2 linked regions of the Arabidopsis thaliana genome follow. The protein of the gene in region 2 interacts with the protein of the main gene of each other region in a pairwise test. Each region holds a gene or a part of one and is shown on either strand. Other genes may lie near its edges.

Region 1 (4,862 bases), on a different chromosome or scaffold from region 2:
ATATCACCAGGTACCTAAAAAGAAATTTTTGATGTGTGTTGACTGTCTTTTAAACCTGCCAACAAGCTCTGAGTATATATTTTGTTGCCACTAATGAGCAGGCTAGAAGCTTACCTACAGATAAGCTGCGGATAACCTATATTTCTGTCAACGTGGCTGTATATTTGGCTCAGGTTCATATCTGATTTTTAGCTTCTTTTTTTTTTAATTCCCGTTTATGTTGTAGTTGCTGAGTTTCCTGAGATCCATTTATATACATCTTTTGCAATTATTGGTGTTTCGAAACTGTAGATTGTGCGTGTTTCCTACCTTGTCCTTCTTTCATTAACTCTGTAACCATTCTTTGCTACCAAGAATCTGTGTGACCTTAGTCACTAGACATTTTAGGTGAATCAAAAGATGTAGAATAAGTTTGACATGTATTTGATGTCTCTATCAGATTGGTATCTGGGCATACATCTGGGTACATGATAACAGCACTGTGGAGTTAGTTGGAAAGATATTTATCGCAGGTAGGTTCTTTGTCTGGTCAAGCAAGTTTGCTAAAACCTTTACTGCTTAATCTATAATATTCCCTCTCTTATCTAAAATCTATATTGACCTATTCTTTTGGTTAATCTTCTTCTTCTAGTTGTGTCTTTCATCGCCGCATTAGGCTTCTTGCTGTATGGAGGAAGGTCTGTGTTTTTGTTATTTTCATATGTCTCATCATCAAAATGTCTGCAAGTTCTTCATTGGCTTTACTGGGCCGTCTTTTCTTATGTGTTTTTTTTTATGCCATAGATTGTTTTTCATGCTAAGAAGGTTCCCTATCGAGTCAAAAGGAAGAAGGAAGAAACTCCACGAGGTACTTAGATTCATATATCTGTATGTGAATAATTTGTCTTATATAGTTCCATAAAACTTTGAACCCAAACATTTCTACCTTCAAATATTCGTCTCTTTTCATTGCAGGTTGGATCTGTGACAGCTATATGCTTCACCTGCTTCCTCATAAGATGCGTTGTGGTAAGCTCAAAATTAAATCTTTAGCTTCCGTCATTGTTTTAGTTATCCTGTGATGTGTTATTTAATGTATTCCATGCAAACATCAGGTGGCTGTATCAGCTTTTGACAAGGATTTAACACTTGATGTTCTTGATCATCCGGTTCTGAACTTAATCTACTATATGGTAAGTAACACTACATCTTCATTCTTTCTCTTTCTTATTCTCATTCATTAACTCGAAAAAAAAAAAACTACAGGTGGTAGAAGTACTTCCATCGGCACTAGTCCTCTTCATTCTCCGAAAGCTACCTCCAAAGAGAGTATCAGCTCAATACCATCCGATCCAGTAGAAACCTTTGTCACTGAACCATCTCACACGGTGAGTATGATGCTGTTTAAGAGAAGAGTAAAGATTAAAAAAAAAATTGGGGCAAAAAATGAAAGGTGAAGAAGAAATCGGTGTGGAATCTGCGTGAGTTTTTGGAATGCACGTTCATATAAATGATTTTACAGCTTTTAGTTGTTGTAGCCCGCCGTGACTTTTGGTTTGGTAGTTTATGTCTGTTAAAATTATAAATTGCTCTTCTGCTACTTTGAAAAATCTGGTCAGTAGTACAAGAGGTTTAACATTTGTTGCGTCGATGGTTGATTGTTATGTTATGTTTGGTAAAAAATAAACGAATGCTCTTCTCCAGTTTCCTTTATGCTTTTGTCAACTGTTACATCTTCTTCTCCTAATGATTTGTATATACTTAAGCTTTTCCATAAAACTAAGTCCCAGTGAAGAAAGAAACTACGTAAACCGAGAAAACCAAGCAAAAAGAGGGTTTACACAACATAAAATGATTAAATTGAGAATCATTTGCATTACCTCGGTATTACATGGGCTGGAAATAACTTATTGGGCCTTGGACCTGATTTTCCAAAAATGGTCGCTCACATTAATATTTATATGTGATTTTACAGTGACAACTCCACAAATCAGCCCTAACTCTGTTTTTGTTTTCTTCGACGACTGAGGTCTTTTCTCTCTCGCTCTCGTCTTCCTCTTGATTCTCTTCTTCTTTTCTGGAGTTTCGCTGCTTTTTTAGCCTGTAAAAATGACGAAAATTTTGTATGAATTTGTGTGCTGATATGCTCGAATCCACATGTTACGCTTGTGTTGAATAATCATATCATTTGGTTATCGAATCAATTCTAGTTCCAATTTACAAAAATCTATCAAACTCTTTACGTTTTCTGGAGTATGTTGAGCTTGAAACTAGTGACATAGATGAAACATTAAAAAAACATGGAATTGTTAAGTTTGTGAAAATTGGATTCGTCTTTGTGATTCTTTATTCTTTGTCTTTGCTGTGATATATAAAGATTTTGTATAGAACAACAATTTGGGAGATGGAGACACTGAAATTGCTGTATTTGGGATTATTGGCAGATAAAAGATTCATACAAGAAAAAAGCAAATTTCGCCACTGATGGATCCTATGGAGTCGTCTAGTGAACAGGTGATGAGTTCATCTCTGTCACTTTAATGGCTTTTACTATTGGTTTATCTGCTTATACAATCAAAATGATATCATGGTACTGTTTTAGATGGTGTTTATTAGCCTAAGTTACTGTAAAATAACAAATGAAAAAACCTCTGAAATGAAATTGTATTTGTTGTTTTTACTTTTAAAAGGACATTGTTGAAGAGAGTCAAAAGCTGGTTGACTCATTGGACAAGCTTCGTGTTAGTGCTGCGAGTTCATCTTCTAATTTCAAGAAGAAGCCTATCATTATTATCGTTGTTGGAATGGCAGGTAATAATATCATTTCTCACTAATGTTTTAAGTTTTGGTTTCCTGTGAAGGGATTTCATTAGTTTGATCATGTGAGATGTTTGTTTGTTATATGTGTAGGTAGTGGAAAAACTAGCTTTCTTCATCGCTTGGTCTGTCATACTTTTGATTCAAAGAGCCATGGTTATGTGGTGAACCTTGACCCTGCTGTTATGTCTCTACCATTTGGTGCCAACATCGATATAAGAGACACTGTCAAGTACAAGGAAGTTATGAAGCAGTATAATCTGGGTCCTAATGGTGGAATTCTCACTTCACTCAACTTGTTTGCTACTAAATTCGACGAGGTAAACATACCTCTGGAATTAGTCCAGATGATTACTGATTTCTTCTCACATTGTGTTAGTTCTCTCGGTTTTCATTGATTGATCTGTCTTTGTTTGCTACTTGTTTTAGGTTGTCTCTGTGATTGAGAAACGTGCAGACCAGCTTGATTATGTTCTTGTGGACACTCCTGGTCAGATTGAGATCTTTACATGGTCTGCTTCTGGGGCTATAATCACTGAAGCTTTCGCTTCAACCTTCCCCACTGTTGTCACCTATGTGGTTGATACTCCCCGTTCCTCAAGCCCAATCACTTTTATGAGCAACATGCTTTACGCTTGTAGTATTCTCTACAAGACTCGGTTGCCTCTTGTCTTGGCTTTCAACAAAACTGATGTCGCAGATCACAAGTTTGCTTTAGAGGTTAACTTTCTTTAATTGCCTACTTTATTATTATTGTGTTGTAATATCTTCTCTTTAATCCTTTGGTACTGATTTGGTTTTATGCAGTGGATGGAAGATTTCGAGGTCTTTCAAGCAGCGATTCAGTCTGATAACTCGTACACGGCGACCTTAGCTAACAGTCTCTCCCTTTCACTCTACGAGTTCTACCGTAACATAAGATCCGTTGGTGTTTCTGCAATCTCTGGTGCTGGAATGGATGGCTTCTTTAAAGCCATTGAAGCAAGTGCTGAGGAATACATGGAAACTTACAAGTAATGATGCATTCTTCTCTTCAATTCACCCTCTTTTGTCTGCAAGTTCTACGCTCATGATTTGTGTTTTACTTCAGGGCTGATCTTGACATGAGAAAGGCGGACAAGGAGCGGTTGGAAGAAGAAAGAAAGAAACATGAAATGGAAAAACTAAGAAAGGATATGGAGAGTTCTCAGGGAGGCACTGTGGTTTTAAACACTGGTTTGAAAGACAGAGATGCAACAGAGAAGATGATGCTAGAGGAGGATGATGAGGACTTTCAGGTTGAAGATGAAGAAGACAGTGATGATGCCATAGATGAGGATGATGAAGACGACGAGACGAAGCATTACTACCTATGAATTAAACTCAAAGACCAGGCTTATCAAGACGCTTGTACTGGTTTTGTTTGCGTCCTTCCCTTGTTGTCCCAGTTGTGTAGTTAAAACATAAGAATTGATTCTCTTTGTGAGACATTGTCTAATGATCTAATGACGAAACTATAAACTAGCACTTTTGAAGACTTTGTACACAATTTGAGTTCATATGCACAAGGAGGAAACACATTTGTATCGGACAAGAAAAGCAGACAGAAAACTAGGGAAAAAAATCAGAGCCAACACTATCTCACTTCCACATTATCCACAACTATAAAGGTCAAGAGTCAATAACATTATCTGAGTACACTTGAACTGTGCGTTGTGGCTGGTGTTTTGTGGAGGATCAAGATTCAGTCTTGGTGGATTTCATCAAAAGGCGCATGAGCAAATCTCACATCTTCTGGCCTTGCAATCACGACTGGCTCATCAGCAAATAGGGCCTTGAGGAAAGATGGAGTTTTCAAGGGACGTCGATCCGTCATTCGGGGATACACAAATGCCAAGAAGTAGTATGCGTGGCCCGCTATCATTCCCTATAAATTTGGATAAAGGTTACGGATAAGGATGATGATGCACAGAAAGGGAAGAAGATATATGTGAAAGCGAATTAGGAGAGATAGCGTACCAGAAAATCCCCCCATGCACTTGCACCAACAAGGATAGAGAATCCAAGAAGTACCTGTAATTTCAGAA
Region 2 (5,246 bases):
GGAGTGAGATGTCGAGGAGACGCTGAGCAATGGTTCTTCTTCGTGCCACGACAAGAACGCGAAGCAAGAGGAGGCAGACCGAGTAGAACTACTGGTTCAGGATACTGGAAAGCAACTGGATCACCTGGTCCAGTCTTTTCCAAAGACAACAAAATGATTGGAGCAAAGAAAACTATGGTTTTCTACACTGGAAAAGCACCCACAGGAAGAAAAACTAAATGGAAAATGAATGAGTACCACGCCGTTGACGAAACAGTCAACGCTTCCACAATCCCTAAGGTACTTGCATATAATTAAAAACTTTTAAATTAGAACATTCTTGTTACTTTTAATAACGAGATTTTTTGTTTTTGCTTTCTTGAAAAATGTAGCTGAGACGTGAGTTCAGTTTATGTCGAGTCTACATAACAACAGGAAGCTCCAGAGCTTTTGATAGACGTCCTGAGGGAGTTTTGCAGACAGAGAGAATGCTAACAAGTGATGTTGCAGTAGCTGAGACATCGTTCCGTGTGGAAAGCTCACTGGAAACTTCGATTTCAGGAGGAGAACATATTGATGTCTCTATGAACACAGAGTTTGTTGATGGACTATCAGAACCGATGTGGGACTGGGAACAGCTGACTTGGCCTTGAAGCTATATAGATTTTATAATCAAGCAAATTTAAACTTGTTTCAATTGCTTATTGTTAGTTTGAATTTTATGACCCGAAAGATTCTTTTTCTTTCTTTACCTTGTAACGTGAGAATTTGAGAAATAATAAATGACCTAGACAGTGACATTTGAGATGTTTTCTAGAGAATGTTGGAGTCATGGGCACGTGTGATTCAGAAACTCAAAAGTCTAAAGACAAAATTTGGCAGAAAGTTAGTCGTCTGGAAAATTAGCATAATCCAGTGAACCAAACCAGGAAGTTGTGTAAATCAATGTTGTTTAGACTTAAACCGAACTCAAAAATACACAAAAAGGTTCATACAAACCGTCAAATGGTTTGGTTCAGAGATATTTTAAACCAGCTCTCTTCTATATAAAGTTTCAAGCACTGTTCTCAGTCTTGTATTTCCTCATCTTCCATGTACTTCTCCTGTACAGCTGCGACTGTGAAGACTATCGTCAAAGAAACAATTCTTTTGTAGTAGACGTAAAACTAAACTCAAGAGTTATTGAGAGAAGTAATGGTTAAGAAATCCAAAATGCTAAAAAAGGATATCTGTTATAATCCCAATCAGTTTGACCAATTGCAATCTTGCTGTATTCAACCACACTTGCATCAATGCCGGCAAATATGTATCCATTGCTCTTGTCGATGAGCTTTACTAGATCCCCAACACTTTCTTTATCCTGAAAACAAAAAAGAAAATTGCGAAAAGATGCTTGTACAGAGAGAAAGAGAGAGAGAGGTAAAGGAAATCGCAAACCTGAATATCCAAGGTTGTAAAATTAACAAGACTGTAATCTTCAATGACACTACATAGCTCTTTTGTTAGTTTTCTGCAATGAGAAACATCAAGCTCATGAGATATTGAGCATGCTTCTAAATGGATAATTATTAACCGTTCAATGTGTATTCAGATGATGTTTACATCGAACCTGTACTTAGCAGAGCGAGGATCTTGACTAAGATGGTGCTCCAAGTATGACAAGTCTTGAACATCGGTATAGAAATCTAAATTGAAAGCTACATGCACAGAGATCCTAGTTAGTGAGTCCACAGTATACATTTGAAAATTCGATGTTATGAGAACAAAACCATAGATAGATTATTAATACCTAGCTTCCCGTAGCTTCCAATCAGATCGATTTTAGACAATACATTGACATGTGGGAGTTCCATGTGAAGCATTGTGGATAAGGAGAGAAGTAGCGAACTTACGTAGTTCCCGGGATCACAACATAGATGGGAATCAATTAGTTGCACAGCAGTTAACTGCAGAACAAAGAAATTCATCAGATATGTAGACTCCTAAGTAAGGTTCATTTAGCAAGTTAGTAATAAGTGAAGTAAAGCACATACTCTAAGGTTCAATGATTTAATCAGCTTCGTGAGAACATTCTTGGTACTGTCATGAATGAAGAACAATTCCACTTGGCCAGGAAAATCAAAGAGAATGTAATGATCTGCAAACAATTCAAAACGTTTTACTTTAAGAAAGAGATATTATGACCACGAAAAGAAGAAGAAGAAGAAGGGACATATCGTTGCTAACCCTTCAGAAGAGGCTTTAGTTTAGATTCCAGCCAGTCAATGTTTTTCTCCAAGTACTCCATACAATATACAAGACCTGTCACATTAGAAAGTTTCTTTGTTAATTTGACCAAAGATTAAAATCAAAAGTAAGAAGAAAAGGGAAAATCAAGATGGCAAAATTCACCTCCATTAGGACCAAGCGAGTGTTCCGACATAACATCTTCTAACTTGATCAATTCTTCTATATTCACACCACACTCATAACTAAAATCAATGTCAAGAAACAACATACACCTGCAATTTTTAACAATTTTGTTGTATTTGGCTTGAAAAGGATACGGTAATGCATCATTTGCAGGATCCAGATTAACAATAGCAACCTTCCTGCAACAACAACAAAATAGTAACTCAACGTTAAGAGAATTTACTTACAGAGAAGTTCTCACGAATCTGCAAATCTCTCTACCAAAAACAAAGACAAGGCAACAACATTTCACAATGACTCTGCTCAAAAGTCAGACAATTCAAATTTCTGGAATTCAACACTATTATTTACTAAAGTTTGCAACTTGTAAACTTTACAATGCGAGGGACAGCGAAACAATCAATACAAACAGAATTACAGATACAAAAGCCAAGTAAGCTTCATTCTTTGATCCAAAAAGAGAAGAGAAGAGAAAGAACATGAAACCTGCCCATTAGAGAGAGGAACTGAGACATTCCATTGCAATAAGTGGTCTTTCCCGATCCTGGAGGACCTATTACTACTTGTCCAAACACCATGCTTCTGAAGACGAAGAAGAAGATTGATACCAATCGGAGTCAAACACGTTGTATAATATCAGAGCCAGTCAGACAAAAAAACACAGTAATTGCAAAGCAAAATCATCTAATCATCAAACTAACATAACATGAATATTCAATAGAGAACATCAAAACCCTTCTAAACACTGAGCTCGTAGCACAATAGAAATCGGAAATGTCATTTGTTCGTCGGACACAGAATACAAACACAATCCTCCAATATTATTAACCCAATTCCTAAACCTCGTTTATAATACAACAAACAATTCACTGGAGAAAGAGAAGCAGAGAAACAATTTGCTTCAAGAGCATATTCATTATATCAGAAGCAACTGGAGACACAGAAGAAAATAAATAGAGAAGCTCGCCTGTGTAGTTAGCCGGAGAGAGAAGCAATGACAGGTCTGTTTGCCGGAGCAAGAGAAACTCGCAGCCGGAGACTCGTCGAAGACTCGATTCAAGGCGAAGTAAGCTCGCCGAAGACTCGATCGGTATATTTAAATTAGGGCTTTAATTTTAATTCGGTTTATTCGTGCTATACTCGAACCGAACCGGATAATCGAAATTAAAAAGAAGGAAACGATCAAGTTATTATTGGAGTATCCGAACCCAAACCGAAAAGTGAATTTCGGGTCGGTTTGTTTTCGGATAAGTTACCAAGGCCTAATAAATTGGTAAACCGTAAACCGATGCATCAGGGTTTAAAATGTAACAAAATAATATTTTAGGTGACAATTAAAAACGTAACAATAAAACAAGGGGTTATATTCGAAACGTTTGCACCTAACCTTATAACTTCGCATTTTTATACTCTGTTCTGATCGCAGCAAAGCCGACGTTGAACTTTCTCGCCGCCGGAGCGCGTGATCTCCACTCTCTGTCATCGAATCACTCTAATTGAAGATTCTCCGATGGCGATTGTCTATGCTGTTGTAGCGAGAGGTACCGTGGTATTAGCTGAATTCAGCGCCGTTACGGGAAACACAGGCGCCGTGGTGCGACGGATCCTCGAGAAGCTTTCACCGGAAATCTCCGATGAAAGACTTTGTTTCTCTCAAGATCGTTATATCTTCCATATTCTTAGATCTGATGGTCTTACCTTTCTCTGTATGGCCAATGATACCTTTGGAAGTAAGTATTTTTCACTTTCTCCGAATCGTAATCTCTCTTAAGAAGATTTAGTCTTTGTAATTGATTCTGAGTTTTATGTTTTGATGTGTTGGTGATTGGATTTTCAGGGAGGGTTCCATTTTCGTATTTGGAAGAGATTCATATGAGATTCATGAAAAACTATGGCAAAGTGGCTCATAATGCTCCAGCTTATGCAATGAATGATGAATTCTCAAGGGTTTTGCATCAGCAGATGGAGTTCTTCTCTAGTAATCCTAGTGTTGATACTCTCAATCGTGTTAGAGGAGAAGTCAGTGAGGTATAATTGTTTCTTCGTATGATCTCTAGATATTACTCAGCTATATCCATTGAAAAGGTTGAATTTTTATGAGTTATTACGCCTTCTTGGCTCACACAGGCTTCTTTAAATCTGTCTTGGGTGAAAGATGAAGTTTGTTATCTCATTGTTGTGTTATCGTGTTTACAGATTCGATCGGTCATGGTAGAGAACATTGAGAAGATAATGGAAAGAGGTGATAGGATTGAGCTTCTTGTTGATAAAACAGCAACAATGCAAGATAGCTCGTTTCACTTCAGGAAGCAATCTAAGCGCCTTCGCCGAGCTCTTTGGATGAAAAATGCTAAGCTCCTGTAAGGATCTCTCTCACTTCTAGATTCTCTTCATTCCTTTTCTTTGCTAACTAAGAGATACGCTCTTCTACATTCTAGGTGTTTCAACTCGCCTTTGCAGCATAGTTTATTGATATGTTTCTTAAACTAGAGATACAGTAGTTCTAAGATTCAACATTATTTTCGATTTTGGGAAATTCTCCTCGACAAAATATCTAATTTTTGGCTGATAGGAACTACACTGCCTTGATTCCACCTCTGCTTAAAGAAATTTCATTATTGTTTTGTTTTGATGCTTGAGTTCCAGATCACTTTTATTAATCAACAAAACTGCTTTTCTTGTTTGTGTTCGGCAGGGTCTTGTTGACATGCTTGATAGTTTTCTTGCTGTACATAATAATCGCATCTTTCTGCGGAGGAATCACTTTACCATCATGCAGATCTTAAAATCTGGCGGCCTTATCTAAGGTATACTGAAACGGACCACTGTTTTTGTAAATCAACTCAGTCGCATCA

The links.
Region 1: the proteins of QQT1 (region 2) and QQT2 interact in a two-hybrid assay, tested with the Arabidopsis thaliana proteins (one study listed by BioGRID).

Annotation. Positions count from the first base shown.
Region 1 is NC_003075.7:11,570,826-11,575,687, forward strand, and holds QQT2 (P-loop containing nucleoside triphosphate hydrolases superfamily protein), read left to right. Parts: upstream 1-1,963; 5' UTR 1,964-2,102; intron 2,103-2,423; 5' UTR 2,424-2,463; coding exon 2,464-2,493; intron 2,494-2,669; coding exon 2,670-2,790; intron 2,791-2,889; coding exon 2,890-3,116; intron 3,117-3,225; coding exon 3,226-3,516; intron 3,517-3,603; coding exon 3,604-3,809; intron 3,810-3,886; coding exon 3,887-4,151; 3' UTR 4,152-4,320; downstream 4,321-4,862. Other genes in the region: TOM1 (tobamovirus multiplication 1), read left to right, coding at 1-10, 102-173, 440-512, 632-677, 784-847, 955-1,008, 1,095-1,172, 1,246-1,338; DER2.1 (DERLIN-2.1), read right to left, coding at 4,520-4,702, 4,795-4,848. UniProt on the Arabidopsis thaliana protein: Small GTPase that is essential for the correct formation of the tangential divisions in early embryos. Associates with microtubule during mitosis and may function in the positioning of the division plane.
Region 2 is NC_003076.8:7,404,310-7,409,555, reverse strand, and holds QQT1 (P-loop containing nucleoside triphosphate hydrolases superfamily protein), read right to left. Parts: upstream 3,527-5,246; 5' UTR 3,359-3,526; intron 3,335-3,358; exon of another isoform or gene 2,974-3,334; 5' UTR 2,970-2,973; coding exon 2,878-2,969; intron 2,571-2,877; coding exon 2,526-2,570; intron 2,451-2,525; coding exon 2,371-2,450; intron 2,281-2,370; coding exon 2,206-2,280; intron 2,117-2,205; coding exon 2,013-2,116; intron 1,926-2,012; coding exon 1,769-1,925; intron 1,677-1,768; coding exon 1,589-1,676; intron 1,490-1,588; coding exon 1,417-1,489; intron 1,340-1,416; coding exon 1,209-1,339; intron 1,099-1,208; coding exon 1,047-1,098; 3' UTR 804-1,046; downstream 1-803. Other genes in the region: NAC090 (NAC domain containing protein 90), read left to right, coding at 1-279, 372-632; VAMP714 (vesicle-associated membrane protein 714), read left to right, coding at 3,902-4,121, 4,229-4,419, 4,588-4,751, 5,087-5,177. UniProt on the Arabidopsis thaliana protein: Small GTPase that is essential for the correct formation of the tangential divisions in early embryos. Associates with microtubule during mitosis and may function in the positioning of the division plane.